Linked DNA regions of Daphnia pulex. The protein of the gene in region 2 interacts with the protein of the main gene of each other region in a biochemical or structural test. Links are inferred from orthologs where the notes say so. Each region holds a gene or a part of one and is shown on either strand. Other genes may lie near its edges.

Region 1 (5,485 bases), on a different chromosome or scaffold from region 2:
CATGTTGATATTTTCGTGCACTTTTTTCAACACATTTCAACCAACCCAACCGATTCAAGCAGACGACTCAACCACTGTTGCCGCTTCGTTATTTAACATCTCCGCACGTGATGTCAGTTTTTGTTCGGAAAATGTTTCATTTCCAAATTTTCAGAGTTGATTACTTGATTCATTGGGAATCACACCAAAGATTGTGATAAGATGGGAAGCAGCCCAAATTCACATTTTCTAACAACCACGCTTCCCTTGATCTAGCTTCCGGTTGCTAACCACTGTACGTAAAGATGGCAGCACTGAATTTTACCTGTAAAGAAGGAACAAAAGACAATAAAAATCTACCACATGTTGCATCCGAATTCCTGATTTTTTTATTCAAACTACCAATAGTGTGTACATGCAGTAATGAAATAAAACATGTTATACACGTTCTCCCACATAATATAGTACCTAATATATAGCATTAGCCGATTAAAGGGAGTTGTTAAACACACATATCCAAATGAATTTTTGAGGGTCGCAATCCGCAAATCATTTCACAGTTTGCAGGTTACATATTTTTCATTTCATTTATATTGTTGTATTTTTAAAGATGGCGCGCTGCGCTCCCGATGGAAGGTATATTTACAATACATACCACAACGGGATTTCCCCAGAATTGTAACAAAAACGTCTCTCTCCTCTGCCCACTTTCCTCCACGTTTCAACCCACGTTAAATCATGAGAGTTCGCTATATAATAATAATAGTGGTTTCGTTAAATGAATATTTTCCCTTTCACCATTTAAAGAAAACTTGAATTAAAGAGGAAACAAGTGCACTGTGAGCGTGATCGGTAATTTTGGAAATGATTTTTAGATAAATCGAGGCTTCCCAACGCACACTCAAAATGGAGAAAATTAATAACACTCGTAGGATATTCTAAATATTGTTAAAAAAAGAAGGAGGGGCTAGTAATAACTGAAAAATGGTTTGAAAGAAGGAATGAATTGGAAAATCTAGCCTGGCTGCAGCTATGTAGGTATACAAAGGTAGGGTTATTTTTTTCGATGGCCAGTAGCTTAAAAAACGGGAAAAATAATGGAGACGCGGAACAAAAAAAGAAAGAAACTAAATAAGGATCAAAAGAAAGGGGATAGGCAAAGAAAATAAGAAAAATAAATGATATGGGAAGGGATAGGAGTGTACGAAAGGGATAGCAATACAATATTAGTAACAATAATAACGTTATCATTTGGTAAAGGAAGCAAAAACAGCCCACATCAACTCATTGGTTCCAGGTTTTGCACTCTCGTTGTCCAAGTCAAGGTAGAGGAGTTCACGAACCCGTTTCATGGCCAGCTCGTAGTCGTCGTCGTTTAATGGGGCAAAGGCATTCTCTAACACGTCAGAGGCGTGAGCCAGGAAGATGAGTGACAGCATGCGTTTGTCCATTCGATGAGCGTCGTTTACCCACTTGGATAAGACTGCTTCTTGTACCTGTAGATGGTTTGGTCAAAGGAACAAAAGGTTTAATGATATGGCTGGCTTTGAGAATGTGAAGACGTCACACCTTTTTGACAAGACGAGTTTTCATGATATTGTCCGTGAGAGGATGAGTGGTCATATCAAACAAGAGAAAATTCTGTTTCTCTGTCGTTAATACTCCCTTCTCCACCAAATTTTTGGCCAGGCGTTCCCGGACGTTTTTCAGTTGATATCTTAGTTTCAAGGGATTCCATGTTTCTCCTGTAAAAATATTTGAAAATCAATGAAAAATTCTAAAGTTGGAGGATTAAACAAATGACACTCACCACTGAGGTATTCTATCCAATTCTGTACCGTCTCAGGGGGATCTGTTTCCTTGACATGCTTGAGTGCCTCATCTAGGAGAACATCTCCAGTAGGTGAGTCATTCTTGAGTAGAATTTTTCTCCCCAATAGGGATCGTTTCCTCATTCCTCCTTTCTCTAGTTCAACTCTACCACGTAGGCCTAACTCAATCAATATGCATCCACGAAGACCACTAGATATGCAATCATTCCAGAATGAAGTATAGCCCTGTAAAGTTAAAAAAATTAAATTTAGGGGGGAAATGGACCAAGTATGACACAATAAATATTATGTATACCTCTTTATCTTTGAGGCCCAATAATAACACTTCTTCCATCAAGGTGAGTCTTGTTTCTTTGGAATCCAAATCATCCATATCATCTGTATCATTACTTGTACGGCGGTCTTCAACATCAGCTGGACCTGACGATATCTCAACAGGTCCTCCGCCACCAGTCCCCACACGAGCAGTCCTCCTTTGAACAACCCCTTCACGATTCATTTTTCTATCAAAACCTGTAACCAGAAAGAACTGTGAGAAGTGAGAACAACCACTCCAGAAAGCACCAAACTATGAATGATTAAATGCCAAATGAATACACTTTGAGTTTGACATTTGGATGTAATGAAATAATAATGACTTGATCCTTTTTTTGGGGAAATTATTCTAGTCAAAAGAACTGAACTGTATCTATTTGAAGAGTAATGAGCTACTTTGTTAAGTAGAGGAGGTAATCTGACCTGTGCACTTGTGAAAGAATAATACTGGCTTTGTGGCAATACGCTCGACGTCTCATCAGTCGCAGACAACGAAAAACAAACTCAAGAACTCAAGAAGAAGGAAACTAAACTATGAAAAGGGCACTACAGTTGTAACTTCGTTCTGGCTGATGAGTTTGTTGACATTCGGAGGCTCGTCTATGCCTTCTTACACGTATAGAAGAACTTTTGTACACGTATAATCTTTGGCAAGCAGGTAGGGTTCTCTCTGTAAAAACGTCGATTTTTGCCTGGTCGTCAAGGCAACAAGCCTGCTGCTTGCAAGTTGCGACGTGGCGTAAAAAAATTCAAAAATGAAAAAAACCAGAAGGTATTTCCCACGGTACGCGATTCGTATTTGGTGAATTGTGTAAACGTAAGCACAGAAAAAAACGGGAAAATTATGACAGTTATGGTAGTGCAAAGGTTTAGGCGATTTTCTTTCGAAAGAATTGTTATCTTGTGTAAATATAACCCTCGTCAATCAGTCCGTCACTGGACATTCATACACATAAGCCCTTAAAAAAAAATTATCTTTCCCGTCCGGATCGTAACTATGACAACATTAATTTGTGTCAATGGGAAAATGTAGATAGAAATGTGTTGCAATATTTGACCCGATATTTGCGATGAAACATAAATGACGATTTTTATTTTATCAAAGGAAAAATAGTTGTTTTCCTTGCTAGTTTCAATTTCAATTGATAGGTGGCAGCTTTATACCTACCAATTAAAAAATTCCGATGGGGAAATCCGCCTCGAACTCGATTCAGATAAAGGTATAAGTCTAGATAAATCAGATAAAAAACTTATTTGGATGTAACAGGACCTTATACCAGGTTCAATCTAACAAAGTTTAAATTGGGGAATCAAAAATGAATCTGTAATGGACAACACGCTTGTCCATTTCATCCGACGTGTAGGAAGAAAATCGAAATTTTTTACCGACGAATGAAAAATTGATTTGTAATTATATTCCGCAATGAAAACTCGATTTCCAAGAATCAACATTTATTTCCATACATCGCAATAGTATATCAGTATGACAGGATCGTTTGACGCATTACATCAGCACCTATTTTTACCTGCGCTTAATAATTCACTCTATACATGTAAACATGTTGAAGCGGAAAAATCAGTCACGTTCTACATCTGGTAGCCCCGTTGCCTAGTCTACTAATATCAACCGAAAGATGTGTGTAAATATTTGGCCATTTTCTGATCCTTTTAAAAAATCCGTAGAAAGTCAGCAAATATTTTGCTTATCTTGTTACAAGTTGTGTAACACAATTTGGCTCAAGCAACGGTGAAACCAGCAACTAAATTGGTCATATCTCTGCAGTAGTAAGAGCGATAATGGGTCACTTTTCGTGGGCACCTAACTAGCCAGCCAACTTGCAGGCAGCTAATCCGATAATAATTACTGCCGAGGAGTTTGTGTGAAAACGCATCCGGATTTCGTCACGATCTTCTCAGCAGCAACGGCGTTGGCAGCCGAAAGATGGCAGCTGGTGTTCTCCGTGCCGGCTCAAAATCCAAAAAACAAGATTCCGACCGAAATGATGAAACCGCGGCTCGTGTGTCGGGGGGATGAATGCCGACCGAGAGAATCCCGGCATTTGTATGCTACGGGGCGAATCAAATAATTCATCTGACCTTAATTAGAAAACCAACGTTATCCAAAAACTGCAAAGAGCGGAAATAGCTCAGCATAGAACAGTTGATGAGAATATTGATCCGACTCGTCTGATGTTAGTAAACACGTGAAAAAGACATTGAAAATGTAATATTCGCCGGCCAACACACATCTCTTTTATGTTGGAAACATTTTTCGCTAAAAAAGAGAAAAAAAGAGCTAGCTAGCTAGCTATACATGTAAAAGAAGAAGATGAAGTCCTCTCCGGCGCAATTGTTGCCTGCGGAGTAGTCTTTTTGAAAAGAAAACGAGGGAACGAAGAAAACGGGCGGATAGGGACGTCTGGCCGCTTTATTGCCACATCACAACCTCATTAGCTCAAGAGCATATGGACTGGAGAGTTTTTTTTTCCTTTTCCTTTTTGTTTGTATATGTAGCTCGGCCGACGACGACGACGACGACAGGAGCAGCAGCCGCTATTGAACATTCGATTTAAGAAAAGAAACTAGTGAGACTCTTGCGAATGAACAATTGCGCCAACTTTCAAGCCGATGTGTGTCTCCTGCAGTCTATTACGTCTACGCACTTGTGCGCATTTCGAATAAGTAAAAGGACTGAGTCTTGTTTATCATAAAAACCTAACCCTCTTCTCTTCCATCTCAATGGTAATTGGACTCTTGTCGGGACCTTTTTTTCGGCCCGAGACAAACACCACCCAAAGGAAACTGATCATCATCAGCAGTTCCTTCCCGTAACTCTGCCGGTAGTACTACATAATGGGCTGAAAATAAAAGAGATCCAGCTGCTTTGAAGTTCGATTGCGTCAATAGAGTTTTACTTGTTTGTCGTCGTGTGCAGGAGCCACAGCCATGAACAATAATGGGTTTTATTCTATATAGGAAAAGAGAGAGAAAGTGCGTCATGAAGACTCGAGAGGATTGCTGCTGCACTTGCTCTGTCCTGCTATTTGCAGATGCTCATTGGCCAAAAACCCCAAAAGAAGATGAGAATCAAGAGAGAAATAGGAAGACGGATAAAATTATATTTGCGTGCATGCTACCCGGCTATCATCAGCTAACGTAGTGTACATTCTGCCCGTCTGAAAACTCGGTCGAGCTGGGAAAATTTCAGTCCCGATGGACGCTATGCTGACAAGATGCTTCCATGTTTACGATGATGCTTTAGACTACTCGGTCCTCGTTGAGGATGTTATGTAATAACAGCGCCTCTCTTTTTACTGGAGGGCCACTTTTTTTAAGGATGTGTTTTTACGTTATAACAT
Region 2 (5,420 bases):
AAAAAAATTCAAATCATCGAATATAAATCAAGACAATAAAAAAGACACAACAACAACAACAACAACAACAGCGCCGCCACTTTATATCTGAGACGTCCGACGACGACACGACCAGTTTCTTCCACCGGCATTTAATTTTGATTTTAAAAATTCAAGATAAAAAAAGAAATAAAACAAAAAACTGGTTTGGACGGGATCGTGACTGAATCAAATGCCACACACGAGCCGATTTAGGAATAGGTCATTTTTTTTTCTTCTCTTTTTGGTTCGCGTTCGCTTTTTAAATTCGGCGGTCGTCGTTTATTTGTTTGTTTCAGTCGGCGTCGTGAGCGACTCGTTTTGGTCGTTTCGCAACTGCTGCCGTCGCCCCGTGAAACCGTTTCGCAACGGGCTGGCCCGTTTTCACAGGCGTTTTGACTTTTGGCGATTAGTCAAACATTGGGCAAGCTGAGATTAATCGGGTCGTGGCGTGGCAGCGGATTAAAGGCTTCGTGCGATAATCGGCACGCCGCCGCCGTCGCCACAGGTGTTTTTGGTTCGGTTCTACTCAACTGCCAAGGAGAGACGGGCAGGACGGGCGGGCAGAATGTTTCACGCAAGGCCAAGAGGCTCGAGACGTTTGAGCTGGCGCGAGCGAACGCATTCAAAAACGTGAAAATAAATCACGCGGCCATAAATCACGCGTACAGTCGCATCCTGCCCCGTAATGATTATGCAGTACGTGACGCACGCTGCTGGCCAGATTACTACTCGCTTGTAAAAAAATAAATTCTTTCTTTCTCTTCTTTTCCGTTGTGGCCTTTCTCTCGTTGGACTTGATCGTCCCCCACCCCACCAAAAAAACTACACAAAACTGGTTGGTCTATTAGCCCAGGTAAGCTCCGGGAATGCGCCATCAAAGTTAATCCCTGGCGCCATCTAACCTTATCTACCCCAATGAACGGCCAAGGCGCAATCGTTTAAATTGAAATTCAAGTCATAATCGTAAAACGTAATGAAAGAAAAAATATAAAAATAAAAAAAGAGATAAGGAGCCGTAAATCAATGAAAATAATAAAACATTTAGAAAAATAAAGGCCGGACAACCTTGAGCGTGACGGTGGATCCTGAATTCCGAATGATGTCGATGATGTCCTCGCGGTTCGTGTTCTGAACGTTTTGACCGTTGACTTCCAGGAGCCGGTCGCCGGGCAAAAGAGCCGCATCCAATTGCTTGTTCGTGTTGCCAGTCACCGGCTCGGCGAAAATCACCGTCCTCTTGACCGAATTCCTGAAATTAACAAACAAACAAAAACGGACATTTCTTTAAATGATTATATCAGACGGGCAGGCGGGGGAGGAGGAGGATGAAATCAATGGGGGAAACGGGGTCGAGCCCGTCATTAACGCCCCCACAGCAATCATAACGAGAAGATATTATTTTTAATACCTGGACGGATCGTTGGGCGACCGCTCGACCACGACGCTCCGCCGGAGCGAGAAACCAAAATCGCCCGTCTCTTTGCGCTGCAGCGTCAGATCTCTGGGTTCGGGCAGGGCCGGCTCAACGAGAGCAGGAAGAGGCAGAGAAGATGAAGAGGATGAGGAAGAATGGAGACTCTTGTGGGTTTTGATGCGATCCAGCCAGCCAGAGCCTTCACCAGGAGGTTCGCTCCATAAAACCTTGACCGCTGCCACCACCGTCGTCGTCGTCGTGGGTTTGGCAGTGGCGGCAGATGGCGGCCTGGAATTGTCGGCCGGAACGAGACCGGCAGCGGCGGCGATGGCAGCAGCTGTGGCCGCATCCAGCGGTGCCAAATGTGGTCGTGGGCTGCTATAAGTAAACGCGTCTTCTTCTTCTGTTTGCATTCCTCCTCCTGCTGCTGCCCTCGCCCGCTGAAAGCCCAGCTGCCCGTTGGCAGACGACGACGGAGGCTGTGACTTGGGCAGAGGGGGAGGCAGCAGAAGCAGCTGGGCAGCAGCCGACGGACTCGAGAGCGATTTCTTGACCCCCAACACAGCCGGTGGCTTCTCGTAAATAATCAACTCGTTTTTCAACGTGTTCTCCACCAATTTGTTGTCGTCGTCCAGTTCCAGCAGCGGCGGAGACTCCAGGCCGTACGAGGACTTGCCCTTGAGGATCCCGCGGGCCGGCGGCACGGGCATGGGGGAGGAAACCGACAACGTCTCCTGTTTCATCATCATCATGGCCGTCGTCGTTGTCGTCGACGTCAGGGAATTCAAACTGGGCGTCCCGTCGCTGGTGCAACTGCCCCCGTCGCTGATGGGACTGTGTGGCAGTTCCGGCCAGGGTCCGGATGAGGCGTGGCCGCCGTCCACCAAGTGGAGACCCAAATGGGCCGTGTAGTCGGCCGTGATGCCGCTGGGCAGTTTTTCCTTCTCTTTGCGGCGTGTGCGGATCTTGAGACTCCGCCTGACTTCGTCCAATCGCAGCAGCTCGTCGGCCGTCAGCTTGTCGACGTTGGCCGATGAGGATCCGGCGGCGGCAGATGCTCCGTACACCACCCCGCCACTTCCGCTGCCAGATGACGACTGCTGGTGGAAAAGGGAGGCAGCAGCAGCATCTTTTGTCGGAGGCTTTTTCGTTTCTTTTCTCTCCTTTTTCTCCCTCTTGTCCGCCTTGTCCTTCTTCATAAAGCTGAACATGGCGGCCAGTCCTGCACATGCAAACAACAATGGAAAAAAAAGAGAGAATAAAAGAAAGAAACATTACATCGATGGTCAACACAATGCACACACACACACACAGACACACATGCCAGTGTAGGATGTTGGCATTTATCGGGAAACCACAAGAAACATGAGCAGCCAGAATAGGCAGGAAGGAGCTAAGGAAACCTCAAACTGATTACGGGGGAGGTTGGCAGGTTCATGGAACTCTTTTCACGTCTCACAAACCCTCAAAACTTGGCCATTGCATGTGGGCTTTCAATTATCGAAACTTGATGTGCACATTTCACAGACGTCTCTCTCTCTACCCCCATTCCTTCACTGCATTGGCAACGGGTCATGGGAGAATTGACCAAGCCTTCGGAGGGAGAGTGAGAGGCCTTCTGCTTGTTGTTTTGACATCTTCACAGGAGTTTGCGAATGAGAAATGGCCAGGGCTTGCACTTGGCAATCACAGCAGAGCCAGAGAAGCGAGGCCCAGGGGGAATCGTGGCTACACCTATTCGGGACGCTAATGAGTCAACATTTTAGATGGAATTTAGGTAAGAGAGAACCCGTTCCAACTAGCACCACACAGGGTCGACGGCTTGTTGCGGGGGCCCTTGCTCTTCCTTGTCGAATGCCAAGCAAATCCACCGAGAAACGCCGTCAGAGATGGTCAGGGCCGACTGTAAACAAATGCACGACTCACCTGAAAGCTCATCGAACAGTGGAAAGGAATCAAACTATTTCACTTGAAAGCGTTTGATGAGTTTAAGGCGCCAGCAAATGCTTGACGTCTGCAGAGGTCTCGGCCGAGTCGACGTAAATGACAGGCGCCCCAGTCTGGTCACCAGGAATGCGGCGAGAGATTTCTATTTCGACCGCTAGGTGGCGAACTGGTTCGGCTGATTTCGCGGGCGGGCTTTCAAACAACACCAGCCAACAATCAATATCAAATGACATGCATCGTTGTTTTTCTTTGGCAATTGATTGGTCGAGATTCTCGAGAGACAAAACGGCTCGTTGTTTTAGACTGAGAGAGAGACAAAACTTGAAATTCAAATGACTCAGCGTATCGAATCCGGGACGGTCTCAACAGGTTTTTTTTTTCAACATTTATTTTGCTTTAGTCGAGTGTAAATACGCCCATTTATTCCGGTTTTGAAAAACGCCGTGTTCAAACATATCAGATGTATTTTTGTAATATAATCGAGTTAGAAATATTTTAAAAAAAGTTGTAAGTAATCAAATAGTTTTTTTGTTTTGTTTCTGTCATTTCGAATTACAGTGTTCCATATTTTGGGCAGTTGTAAAATGACATCAAATTGGAAAATATTTTATGCAAAATGTACGCGCGTTGGGTGGCAATTTTCAGATGGTGAAAGGTCTACAAGTCACAAAAACCAGTAGAGACGCAAATGGTGATGGTTTAATATAAGGAAGACGGGGAATGTTATAGGGGCTTTAATTTTGTAAATGTTGTAAAGTGTAGTAGTGCTTGTACAGTGACTTGCCATATACGTGTGTGTATTTTCCATTTGCAGTCAACAGCGAAACAGTTTTTTAAATGTTGACATTGAATGCAAAAAGAATTGGGGAACTTGTGTTGCCACTCTCAACCGTAGAGCCAACCGGGAAACCTGTTTCTATTTATGTCTCCACCGGCATTGACGCCGTATTGGTACGACGGTGGGCCGTAGACACCATGAATAGGTGTCATAGGCGGCCCGGTAGGATTGCGGTAGGATTGCTCAGCAGCCTCCTGATCCTGGACTTCAGCATCCATGGCGAAGACGCAAGCGGCCAAAGCCACCAAAACCAAAAGGGTCTGCGCAATAATATTTTAAATTCCATTAGACAGAATTATAATTGCAATAAGCCAGCAGGGATATTTACAGCACAAGAAAAGAATATTTTTAGGGATTTATACCATTGACTTGTACAGCATATTGAAGAAGAAGAGATAGATAAATAGTTGTTGAGCTTATACTTGGCGATCAGGTGTTGTTTGTCTTTTCCACCCTCTGAGAGGTTCAATTTAAAGGCCTTTTCGTCGGAGATGAGCGAATTTCCGTGCGGCACACGACCAACGAAAATGCATCCCCTTTCAAGTCGCTTTTCTCTGTGGTATCTGGCATGAGCGTGACTATCTGCTGACGTAAAAGGCCGGGTTAACGACATGGAGATGAAAAACAGATAACTTTGAAGAAAAAAAGAAATAATACGAGCAAAAACAGTCTGCCAAGTTCTATGTGTGTGACAAATGTTCAATCGAAAGAAAATGGGAACACATATGGTTCCCAATATAAATCCAGTTTCGTATAATATACTCTATTTCTTTTTACGACTCATTTCTGTGCATAACTCAACCAAACTCAGCATTATCAATCCTATTTGCTGATTTGCTGCAAGTCTATTGTACTACTGCAATTACATTTCTATACACCAGGCATTGCCGAGGGCATTGCGGAACAGCAATGCAATAGGTTCCTGCTGATGTCTCTATTCGTCTCCCATTGCAATTCAATAGAGCGCAGTGCCAATAGATAGACTGCCTACTGCAAGAAAGAAATTGCGCGTTTCATTTTTTGCAAGTCGAATAGGCCCCCTTACCGTTGCAATTTTATGTCACACGATTAAATGCCTACTCAACTCATTAAATCTTAAGGTCTTATAAGGTTATACTGTCGACGAATTTGTATTTCTTTAGTTTCTCGAACATGCTCTGCTTGTTCTTTCTAAATGAAAACATTTTCAGGTGAATTATT

The links. The genes of interacting proteins can lie anywhere in the genome.
Region 1: the proteins of unconventional myosin-XVIIIa-like (region 2) and Golgi phosphoprotein 3 homolog sauron-like form a complex in vitro, tested with the Homo sapiens proteins (2 studies listed by IntAct). The link is inferred for Daphnia pulex from reciprocal best matches to the Homo sapiens genes MYO18A and GOLPH3.

Annotation. Positions count from the first base shown.
Region 1 is NC_060019.1:8,788,352-8,793,836, forward strand, and holds Golgi phosphoprotein 3 homolog sauron-like, read right to left. Parts: upstream 3,223-5,485; 5' UTR 2,550-3,222; intron 2,325-2,549; 5' UTR 2,311-2,324; coding exon 2,107-2,310; intron 2,037-2,106; coding exon 1,790-2,036; intron 1,725-1,789; coding exon 1,549-1,724; intron 1,476-1,548; coding exon 1,227-1,475; 3' UTR 346-1,226; downstream 1-345. UniProt on the Homo sapiens protein: Phosphatidylinositol-4-phosphate-binding protein that links Golgi membranes to the cytoskeleton and may participate in the tensile force required for vesicle budding from the Golgi.
Region 2 is NC_060020.1:237,348-242,767, forward strand, and holds the start of unconventional myosin-XVIIIa-like, read right to left. Parts: upstream 3,499-5,420; 5' UTR 3,362-3,498; intron 2,658-3,361; 5' UTR 2,647-2,657; coding exon 1,430-2,646; intron 1,271-1,429; coding exon 1,087-1,270; intron 1-1,086.